3 linked regions of the Coturnix japonica genome follow. The protein of the gene in region 3 purifies or fractionates together with the protein of the main gene of each other region. This does not show direct contact. Links are inferred from orthologs where the notes say so. Each region holds a gene or a part of one and is shown on either strand. Other genes may lie near its edges. The genes, in order: BET1, BET1L and GOSR1.

What was found.
Region 1: the proteins of GOSR1 (region 3) and BET1 purify together in Homo sapiens (affinity purification with mass spectrometry; 3 studies listed by BioGRID and IntAct, with this or other methods). This does not show direct contact. The link is inferred for Coturnix japonica from reciprocal best matches to the Homo sapiens genes GOSR1 and BET1.
Region 2: the proteins of GOSR1 (region 3) and BET1L purify together in Homo sapiens (affinity purification with western blotting; 3 studies listed by BioGRID and IntAct, with this or other methods). This does not show direct contact. The link is inferred for Coturnix japonica from reciprocal best matches to the Homo sapiens genes GOSR1 and BET1L.

The regions. Positions count from the first base shown.
Region 1 is NC_029517.1:21,336,891-21,340,638, forward strand, and holds the start of BET1 (BET1 homolog), read right to left. Parts: upstream 2,781-3,748; 5' UTR 2,642-2,780; coding exon 2,623-2,641; intron 482-2,622; coding exon 366-481; intron 1-365. UniProt on the Homo sapiens protein: Required for vesicular transport from the ER to the Golgi complex. Functions as a SNARE involved in the docking process of ER-derived vesicles with the cis-Golgi membrane.
Region 2 is NC_029520.1:1,402,375-1,405,991, reverse strand, and holds BET1L (BET1-like protein), read right to left. Parts: upstream 2,718-3,617; 5' UTR 2,594-2,717; coding exon 2,575-2,593; intron 2,434-2,574; coding exon 2,342-2,433; intron 1,998-2,341; coding exon 1,941-1,997; intron 1,242-1,940; coding exon 1,074-1,241; 3' UTR 531-1,073; downstream 1-530. Other genes in the region: RIC8A (synembryn-A), read left to right, coding at 3,034-3,117. UniProt on the Homo sapiens protein: Vesicle SNARE required for targeting and fusion of retrograde transport vesicles with the Golgi complex. Required for the integrity of the Golgi complex.
Region 3 is NC_029534.1:5,040,307-5,044,005, forward strand, and holds the start of GOSR1 (Golgi SNAP receptor complex member 1), read left to right. Parts: upstream 1-777; 5' UTR 778-873; coding exon 874-904; intron 905-1,159; coding exon 1,160-1,265; intron 1,266-2,028; coding exon 2,029-2,116; intron 2,117-2,324; coding exon 2,325-2,432; intron 2,433-2,835; coding exon 2,836-2,927; intron 2,928-3,296; coding exon 3,297-3,371; intron 3,372-3,699. UniProt on the Homo sapiens protein: Involved in transport from the ER to the Golgi apparatus as well as in intra-Golgi transport. It belongs to a super-family of proteins called t-SNAREs or soluble NSF (N-ethylmaleimide-sensitive factor) attachment protein receptor.

The sequences.
Region 1 (3,748 bases), on a different chromosome or scaffold from region 3:
AATAGTCTGGGGATCATCCAACAAGTTGATCTTGGACTTGTGTCATTGCTAGCAAGCAAAGTCAACTGCAGGTCAGAATGAGGGAAATAGGAAATAAGTAGCATATAGAGATGCAGCAAATGCTGCAATTTATTGCTGCAGAAAGACAGGCACCAGCCAGACCTTCAGCTTACAGCAGATCCCCTATGAAGTAAGGACAAAGACTCTGCTGTCACAGTGCTTTCCCTTAGCCACAACCTGTACGTCTCTGTGGCACAGTCTCAACTCCATGATTTCTTACTGCTGCTACTGCTTTTCACCACCATCTATAAACAAGTCACAAGTCCACCCGTTTTAATTAAATTTAACTATAATTAAATACTTACTGATTTTATTGCACTGACTTTAGTGCGCAGACTTTCTGTTAACCTTTCATTTTCTTCTTCATACACACTGTACCCACTGTTAGTATAGCCATAGTTACCAGTTGGTGCTCCATCACCTGTAAGCAGAAAAGCCAGTAGTTACAGGTAGGAAATATCATTGGAGTAAGTGTTCTTCACTTGTGGGAAAACACTCTGCATTAAAAATGCATTTCCTTAACAGAAATCAGACAACTGGGCTGTACAGTACAGTACAGCCTAGACCTGAAATCAAAACTACTGATGCCATTGTTAACTAAGAATTATGCCATTTAATGGAGTCAGGGTTGTTCCTATTGTTTTCCTTTACAATTATATGTAACTACAGTACCTCCTACTAAGTAACAAGCAATTTTGAGTGCTTGTAAGTTAGTACTAATAGCAGGTGAGTTCTAACTAAATGGTCTGCAAGGTCCCTCACAACAAAAGCCATTCTGGGATTCTATTGTTCTAGAGAGGAAACAAGAAGATCTGTGTAGAGCCTGGCTACTGCTACATAAAGAAAGGCCAGAAACTCCTACACAGCACATCTACAAGCCGTCTTGCAACACCACTAATAGCCAGGATGTGCCCATAGACATAACCACAATATCATCTCAGGCTAAACAGGAGGTACTAGGTAGCTGGAGACAGAAGTAAACATACTGATGGGCAGTTTGTACTTCCAGCCCATGAAATAAAAAGGCTGGATTGACAGCCAACACACCAAGATAAATATCAGCAAATTTCACTGATAAGGGTCCTAAGAGATATCTAAATCATCTCTTCAACCTTTCAGCAGGTGTTTTAAGAAGTACCTTCTGGATGCCCCTTACAGCACTGATTGTAAGAGCTTTGCCAAGCAAAGGCCAGCTCCAGCTGCATTCCTTCCTTAGCAACCCATCCCCTCACTCCTTTAAAAGCATTAAAAGAAGGTTGGCCAGCAGGGTAAGGGAGGTGATTGTTTTTACTTTGCCTTCCTAAGGCTCCATTTGGAGAGCTGCATCTAGGCCTGGGGCTCCTGCTTCAGAGAAGATGTGGAATGTTTCAAACAGTCCAGAGGTGGGACACAGAAATATCAGAGGGCAGGGAGCACCACTCCTGTGAAGACAGGCTGAGGGAGCCAGGCTTGTTCAGCCTAGAGAAGAGAAGGCTGTGGGGAGACTTGATAGTGACCTTCCAGTACTTAAGGGCAGCTTATAAACAGGAGTGAAAACTTTTCATACTGGTAGATAGTGATAGGACAAGAAGGAATGGTTTTCAACTAAAAGAGGGGATGTTATGGTTATACATCAGGAAGAAGTTCTTTACTCATAGAGCGATGAGGCTGCTCAGATAAGCTGTGGGTGCCTCATCCCTTGTGGTGTTCAGGGCCAGGTTGGATGGAGTTCTGGGCAGACTGATCTAGTGGCTGGCAACCCTGCCCATTACAGGGCATTGGAACGAGACAGGCTTTGAGGTCTCTTCCAACCCAAGCCACTCTATGATAAGCAATATAAGGAGCAGGGCCTTCAGCTCTGGTTCACAAGAGTCAGCTGTGGGGCCTCAAGATCCTTCTGACTTTTCAGGTTTTGCTCCTCCAGCAAAGAAAAATAAAGCAAGATTTGAAGACCTGAGTACTACCAATGCCTACCTTTTCGCAACCAACATCCCAACACACCTCTGTTGATTTATTAAGGAGCATATCTAAGGTTTGGTTTTACTTTGTAGAAACACTATTGCATGCCACAAACAAGAAATGGAGAAATAAAGCTCGGGTAGCTCTACAACCATGCCTGGGTTGGCCACAAGGCATTCCTCAGCCTGGTGATTCAATGGAGGTGTTCACTCTCAGGACGAGGCTCTCAGCCACCCCCTCTCCACAGAGGGGATGCTGTACAGGGACACGACAGCACTTCCAGGTCCCAGAAAGCAACACACGAGGTCAAAGTTCCCTTCTAGTCATCAACGTGGCTGCGAGGTGAAGGGCCAGACCTGGCTCTCTGAGCACACCCAGCAGAGACCCCATCCTTTCCACCACTCTTATCAGGGGTAAACCGAAAGTGGAAGCCTTCTCAAAGCAAAAGCCTCAAACATAGCAGGAAAACATACAGAACATCCGCAATTAAATAAAACACGAATACAAACAAGACACCCTTCCCACCCAACCCCCGACCCACGCTCGTATCACATCAGCCTGATGACCCCGCGCAGCGCCACGGCCCACAGGCCTCTCGCCCCCCCCACGCAGGACGGCTCTTACCCAGCCCCGCTCGCCGCATGGCCGTGCCCGGAGCTGCCGAGGGAGGGCGGGGAGGAGGAGGGTGAGGAGCGGGGCGGTCGTGCCAGAGAAGCAAGAGCCGAGCTCAGCCCGCCCGCCGCTCCGCCAGCCGCCCCATTCACCGGCAGCGCCACGACAGCGCTGCGCCGCGCGGCCCGCTGGGAGCTACGGCGTATAGGGGCCGATGGGAAGTGTAGGCCTGCAGCTGAGCTGTGTGACGTTCATAGACAGCAATTCAGGGCTTCACTGCGAGCGTGGAAACGGTACCAATGTGATAAATGTTCCCTTTAGTGCACTGAGGAAATACAGTTTTCATGTGCTCATGAAGTGGTGCCGTCACCGTCCCTGGAGGTGTGTGCAGAGACCTTATGGCTGTGGCACTGAGGGTCAGTGGGCACTGAGTGTGGCTTGAGGTGATCTTAGAGGTCTTTCCCAGCCTTCATTGATTCTATGATAGTTTCTTCTGCTTGTTTTGTGGCTATGGCTGATCTTAGCATCCCCTCAGCAAGAATCACAGAATCACAGAATGACCCGGGTTGGAAGGGACCTCAAGGATCATGTAGTTCCAACCCCCCTGCCTGTCAGGGCCACCAAACATACACCTTTACTAGATCAGGTTGCCCATGGCCCTGAAGCCACATTGGTGCCTGATCAACATGCTTTTTTAATCAAAGGCAACAAAAAAAAAGTTCAGCTAAGGAATCTTATTAGTGTGGTAATAATAATGGCTGTGTTATCAGTGAATTGGTTAATTACTAACTGGATTGACATTGTTCTTACATGTTTGATAAACAGGTTTTCACAGTCAGCATGATTAACGCTCTACTTTCAACACTGACAGGCTGTGAAAACAACCTAGCAAGTTACACTCATCATCTGAGCGCTGAAAAGCTGATACAGCATTTTGTTAGTGCCAAATACTTCAATCACTGTTTTCTTAAGTGGTAAGCTGCAATTATTACTGTTTTTTTTTTAAATAAAGTAGTTGAAGTTTGATCCATTGCACAATTAACTAACAGCTGATGAGACATTTCTGAATAAAATGATTGCACTAAGCATGTAGAAACTAAACTAGATCACAAAATAATTAATATTCGGTGCCTGCAAA
Region 2 (3,617 bases), on a different chromosome or scaffold from region 3:
GGGTATCTCTGGGAGGGGAATGTCTTGGATCCTGCCACAAAGACAGGCTTTTACCTTGTGTATTTAGGGGCATCCCATGTGTTCCCACATATATACAGACATACCGCACCTTGTAAGGTCACCCTGTGTTCCCCTCCCAGCCCCAATTATACCCCACAGTCTCTCCCCACCCCAGTGATCGATGCCAATCCCATGTTGTCCCTGCAGCCCCCATGACGTGTCACATCATTCCATTCCCTTGGTGACATCCCCCTGCACTAGGGACATGCTGCACGCAGCCCATGTGTCACAGTTGAGGACAATAAATTAAATGCATGCAAGTTAAGCCTTGTCCCTGTGTTTGAATGCCTGGGGGTGGGAATGTATGGGGCCCTATGGGTTGGGTGCAGAGGAGCACTTGAACACCTGAGTTCCTGCTAGGTAGTAGGGGGATGAGGGCATACCCAGCCCAGGCACACGTTTATTGGGGTCATGCTGGATTAAGTCACACATTGATCATTCCAAAGTTTATAAATCATTACAGCCTAAACTTTGCAGCTTCCAAACCTCTGATTTATTAAACCTGTATTGATAACCATCTGGATTTGTCAGATATGCCAGGTATTAGTAATGGAGGTAAGACAAAAGTATCCCTTAAGAACTGGCTGCAAGACATGGATGAGACGAGAGATATAGGCATGAACATCAAAATCAGGTGATATGTGGAAATCCAGTTAGAATGGTCTTTGCAGGGCAGGCAGCTGCCAAGGAAAGGTGACAGATGTGATGCTGCAGGAGCTGAACAACAGTGGCATCACCCAGGGGCTGACTGAGCTCTTCCAGGTCTGGGTGCTGCAGGGTCTATATGTGCGGTGGGATGTGTCATCCAGAGCAGCCTGGTGGATGTGCTGTCAGTGAAATACTCATTTTACCTCCAAGACCAGCCAGAATGGTGACAAAACACTGGTTAAAAGTTATCTGGAATGTCTGTTGGGAAGTCCCAAGGATCCCAAAGCAGGGCAGATCTAGAAAGGCGCTGAACAAGTCTGTCAATCACATTGATTTAGTTCAGTAAAACTACGCAAGAACCAAGATCAAGTCCCAGCTTTGGACACAAGATAGTAGAGGATGAAGAAAACAACAACCAGTCCTACAGAAACAAAGCAGAGTAACTTGCGGTTCTCCCTCCCAGAGCGTGTCATGGTGCTGAATCGCTTCATGCTGCCGGTCAGCAGCCCAGTAGCACTCAGAAAATCCGAATCCTAGAGGAGAAACAAAGTGCAAAAAGCAGCATTTCAAACTGGAGAGGCAGCCCATGAGGAGGGTCCAGCTTCCTGCTTAAAGAACAACTGCAGCAGCTGCGCTGTAACTGCCTGTATCTCTGTACCTATCGTGTCTCTCTTATGAGGAACTTCCCTGCCTGCGCTCGTGGCAAAGGCACAGGTAAATACTGCATACCAAGTATCTCTACATAAAGCTAGCACCGTTAATGCCTGCCAGGGCAGGCTAAAAAGCACCAAAACCACGCAGTTTCTTTCCATTAGTTCTCTTTTTTTTCTTTCAGCATGGGGCAGCATACACTTGTAACACCACCAGGTGGCAGCAAACAAGTCTTAAAGCAATTCATTATCATTTCGACTCCACGTCTGTTTTCCTTTCTCATAAACTACCTCCCACTTTTTGCTCACGTTTCTCCTGAAATATCCCTAAATCTTCTCTAATAGAAGCACAATTGCGTGCTGATTCGGGGCTTCTCCTTTAAGATCTCTTGTCTTTACATCTCTCATTCCAACTCTCCACTCTTTTGATTTCTAGGCTGAACAAATATCCAGTTCAGATACTCCAAGGCCATACACTGCTATTAAGGTTCCAAGCTATTAAGCTTCCAAGCTCCCACCTTTGACCAAACTGGTCCCAACATTGAAATTCATGCTTTTTACCCTTCTTTTTTGGTTCCTTACCATGCTATCCAGGTAACGGTTCTGTTCATCAGCATCTTTATCAATATCCAGAGCCAGCTACACAGCATAAGAGAGGAAATTGACGTTAATGAACACCAAGACAACCTGGAACGCATCTAGGCCCACACTAGAGGATGTGGTGGAGGTTTGTTAAGCACAGCCACAAAACAAGGCCTCTCACTCACTGCAGTTTGGGGTTGTGGGAATCCTTTTGCTGTGGAAATAATCTGGGAAAGCTGGCAGAAACTTCCCTATGTTGGACATATGACAACAGCTGACGGACCAGCACTGCCTCCTACTGCTACACGTCAGCCATCGTATGCCCACAGCACTGAGGAAGCCCACACAACTGCGTTGTCCCTGAGACCCTGCAAGCGTCCATAGCAGCGCCAGCAACTCACCGACTTCAGCCTGGTGACTTTGCTGGCCAGGTTGTCTGTCATGCGCTTGTTCTCCACGTCCAGCATATCCTCCATAGCAACCGCATTCTGTCCTGAGGAGAAAAGAAACGCGTCTCATCATCCCGACTGGGGAGCATGGCACATCCCCAAGATGGCGGCGGGGTGCCCCAAGATGGCGGCGGGGCGCCCCCTTTAGCAGCCCCTCAGCGCGCCCCTCACTCCTTCCCCCTCACCTCGCCCCCAGTCCGCCATGGCGGCACACGGCGAAAGGCGGCTCCGCCCGGCAGGAGGAGCTCCGCCTCTGTAAAATGGCCGCTGGGCCTTCGCCTTCCCTGTTGGGTAGTGAGGAGCGGGGAGCTATTACGGGAAGCACCGTGATCTGCTGCGGTAATCCTCGGGTGGGGAGGGGGGGGTGTCCCAGCGCTGTGCTGGGAGGGCATGCATTAAACGTCGGAAAGCAAAGAGGAAAGAAGAGGATTAGAGGGGCAGAGAGGCTGTACGTGGTTCACCCGTCTGCTTTATGGACGCAGCAGTGAGCCGGCTCGCTTGATTTTTGTTTCTTTTTCCCCACCCCCTTTCTCACTGCCTCTCAGTTCTCAAGGATCGAGGTCCCTTTGCACCGCTGTTATCCAGGAGCTCTGGAAGCCTTTCCTCTCTGCTTCCCATCCTGCTGTAGCTGAGCTGTTGGTATCATGGAGCTCAGGACCGTAGTGGCCACGGTGGAAAGCGGGGAGCAAGACGCGGTCCTCAAGGTGCTTCAGATCTACAACCAGGAGGTGAGTGAGCATCACACCTCAGCCTGATGTCACCTGCTGCTGTCAGCAAGCCTGGAAGCAGGTTGGGCCGTGTTATGGGTTCACAGTGCTGCCCAGCTATCCCATCTCCTCTGAGCATCTGTCTCTGCATTATTGCCCTGGAGATGTCATAGACTGCTTTGTTTTGTTACTTGCAAGCTGCTTCTTAATGATGCTTTACTAGGAAGCAGCTAAGAAGCCTCCCTTTATCTTGTTTATGCTGGAAGAAAAGTACATGGGAAGGATTTTCTTTATTATCCAGATTGCAAGTTAAACCCGGTAGGGGAATAATCATGGGCATGAGGAGTAGGAGGAGCCTTGATGCTAGGCAAGGTTTGGAGGTAATAAAACTCACACCTAGGGAGGAGCTGCAGGTAGGATTGTTGTGATTTGTAAGCAAAAGACAATTAGGAGTTGGTGTGAATGGATGCTGGGATTGGATTAGGGTGCCTGATCTGAAAGCTGGCGCATGAAATAATGAG
Region 3 (3,699 bases):
TTCCGTCCCCAGCAATAAGTCCTCGGGAATCAACACACGGGCTGTCAATGGGGCTGATGGGGCCGGCGGTTCCGTAGCCGTGTGAGTGCACCCCCTCTGTGCCACAGCGGTGCCCAGGAGCCCGGCTGTCCTTCTGTCTGTCCGTCCGTGGAAGCGTCCGCCCCACGCGCACTGTGCCTTCGCTGTACGTTGTCACGAGGGTCTCAAAGCGTCCTTCCCAGGGAGGTAAGGGCCGGCTCGGGGCCCTCGGGTCGTTTTTTACCTGTATTCCGATAACCTGTATAAAACTATTTTGATGTCTGCCCGCCTCCTCTCGTTCTTCGCCCTCCCGAGGTCGCCGGGGATGGGGACATCCAGGAGGGGAGTAAACTCTTGGAAAGGTCTGACAATAGTAGGACACGGGGAAATGGTTTGAAGTTAAAAGAGGGAAGATTTAGGTTGGATGTCAGGGGGAAGTTCTTCACTAGGAGAGTGGTGAGGGCCTGGAACAGGCTGCACAGGGAGGTTGTGGATGCCCCGTCCTTGGAGGTGTTCAAGGCCAGGTTGGACAGGGCCCTGAGCAACCTGATCTATGGGGTCTCTATGGGGATCTGTTGGGTCTATGGGGTCTCTATGGGGTCTCCTGGGCAACCTGATCTAGTAAAGGTGTATGTTTGGTGGCCCTGCCAGGCAGGGGGTTGGAACTCCATGATCCTTGAGGTCCCTTCCAACCCGGCTCATTCTGTGATTCTGTGACACTCGGTGCTCTGCGCCTCCCGGCCGCCAGGGGGCGCTGCGTTGGGAGGTCCGCCCGTCCCGTCGTACACCGCTCCAGCAGGGAGACGCTCTAGACAGGAGTTCTCGGCAGGCGGCGGCTGACGTTGGACAACAAAGATGGCGGCGGGGAGCAGCAACTACTGGGAAGGCGAGTGGGGTCGGGGCGAAGCTGGGCACGGAACGGGGCAGGGCGAGGCCTCGGCCGGGTCCCCTCTGCCCGCTCGCGGCCGCAGGGTGTGGTGGTCTCGTCAGCCGTGAGGCGCCGGTGTCCGGCTGAGCTCCGCGGCGGGGAGGCCCCTGTGGGGCGCGGCCTGTGGGGCCCTCAGCCCCCGTTGTCACCCGCCTCGGGGGGGGGCCGCCCCTTTCTGAGGGCCCTGTGTGTGACTCCCCCCGTTCCGTGCAGATCTCAGGAAGCAGGCGAGGCAGCTGGAGAACGAGCTGGACCTGAAGCTGGTTTCCTTCAGCAAGCTCTGCACCAGCAGCCGGGACGGGCGGCGCGACAGGTATAGGTACTAAGCCGTTTCTTTATGTTTTTATTCGCTCTTTGCAGAGTTTGCTTCGTTTGTGTGGTTTGCTTAATGCTGGTTCCCTCTGCCACCTGTGGCATTGCTTAAGGATCTTACTTTGTGCTGCTGGTGTTGGGCTGGGGAAACCTCTCTCAGGTGCCAGCATCGAGATGTGTGCCCCACCTGAGAGCACACACGGTGTGTGTTAAGTTGTGCTTAAACTTCAGTTTATACTTCATGGGATCAGCACAGCTTGGGTCAAAAGGGTCTTTAAGTTCCAGCCCTCCTGCTGTGACCAATGTCCCCACTGAATTGTGGGGAAGGTGCATGAAGGAAGGATGTGGCTTCCCTAGTGCACAGCTGCCTGCATCGTTTCCCAGTTCTCCTGCATTATGGTTCTCAGAGACTCAGTAAGTGCTTTGTACTCGGGCAGCTCAGCCTCACTCTACTCCGGTGGGTGGCTGTGCTGCTGGTGGGCCTGTGTAGGACTGGGCTGTGGTGAGTAGCCCAAGGAGAACACCAACAAAGTGGGGAAGTGAAGCAGTCAGTCTGTGGCAGTTCCTTCCCAAGGGGTGGCTGTTATTTCTGGTTTCCTTTAAGGTAAGTCGTAATAAGGAGAGCTGTATGTGTATGTTTGTACGTATATATATAACAGAATTTGTTGGAAGAAATTGCGTCTTTAGGCAGATTTGTATTTGACCAGAGGATTAATATGATAAAACTAACCAACAAGTTGTATGTTTTAGTAACTCACCTTCTTCCACAGCTCTGACACCACTCCTCTCTTAAATGGATCGAGCCAGGACAGAATGTTTGAGACGATGGCTGTGGAGATTGAGCAGCTTCTAGGAAAGGTAATGCACAAAATACCGTATATTTACATCAGCATTTTGAAGTATTACTGTACAGGTTTCTGTGATGAGTGTTTAGAAAGTAATAGCGTGGGTGGTAGAGAAGTGTTGCTTGCTGAAGGTGTGTATCTGATATAAGGGAAACCTCCTTCACCTTTCAGGTCATTTCAGGTTGGTTTTGTTTTTGTGTTGATTTTTTCTCCTCTTGCAGCTTACTGGAATAAATGACAAAATGGCAGAATATACAAATAGTGCAGGAGTTCCATCCCTGAATGCTGCACTGATGCACACATTACAGCGTCATAGAGACATCTTGCAGGTAACAAGCACGTGATCTTCTTGTTGTGTTTTATTACTTTGGGGTAATGATTAGAGTTATTAGCAGCTTGCTCAGACACACTCCAGTTGCCTGTTGGCTGGGAGGAGGCTCTATAAGTGTCTGATATGAAAGAAACAACAAAGCTAACTTACTGAAAATAAAGCCCTTTCCTCACATGTGCTGCAAGCACAGGGGCTGAAAACATCCTGACAAACAAACGTCTCCAAATGAGGTCAGGGTTTCAACAGCTTCATGCATACATTGTGATGTTAATGTAATGAGTTGGTCTTGGGCTTTTTGCTCTAGAGATGTGAACATTAGACTGAAATGGCAGGATTTGAGTGTCTTGCTTTGGTAACTCGATCTCAGGACTCTTAACTTTGGAGCGATTGTTTTATTACAGGATTATACTCACGAATTCCACAAAACCAAAGCGAACTTCTTGGCAATAAGAGAAAGGGAGAATCTGCTGGGATCAGTACGAAAAGATATTGAGTAAGTTGTGTGTTGCAGCAGCGGTGTGGGGCTGTGCCAGGAGGGAGAAGGCAGCACCTCCTGTATGAGTGTGCTTGGCTTGGGTTGATCCACTGCGCTCTGAGCAAAGTGAGAGTAGTTGCATGAGTTCACAGATTTACTGAGCTTCTGATTGAAGTATTTGCTGGTTTTGTTTGCTAATTTTAACCATGAAAATGTTTGTGAAAGTAACATTGTTAAGCACAAATCACTTATAAAATGTTTGAGCGTGACCAAAGCTTTTCTGGTTGGTCATTTCAGAGCAGTACAGCATGATGTTACATGGATCAGTAATGTCTATTGAGAAACCTCTGGAGAAAATGTTGTTCAATTTTTACTTCTTGCATTTAGGTCATATAAAAGTGGGTCTGGTGTGAATAACAGAAGAACAGAACTATTCCTGAAGGAACACGAGCACCTTCGGAAGTAGGTGTTACTTATTATTGCCTGGTAACTTGCATGTTTCCCTATGGTGGAGATTGCAGATTTTTCTGGGGGGGTAAAAATTCCAAGTGTGAATGAGAACTTTGTCTGTGATTTTTCCCTACCTCTAACAAATGTGTACAGAAGGCAATGGAAGAGCCTGGCTCCAAAATACTCATCAATCATCCCTATTAGACAAGGAAAACAGAGGGTGCTGCCTTTTTATTCTTGCTGCAGAGGACGTGAGGTTAGGAGAGGTTTAATTTGTGCATTCCCTGTGCAGCAGAAGCAGAGCACTGCTGGTGTTCTGTAGACCACTGGGATGCAGCAC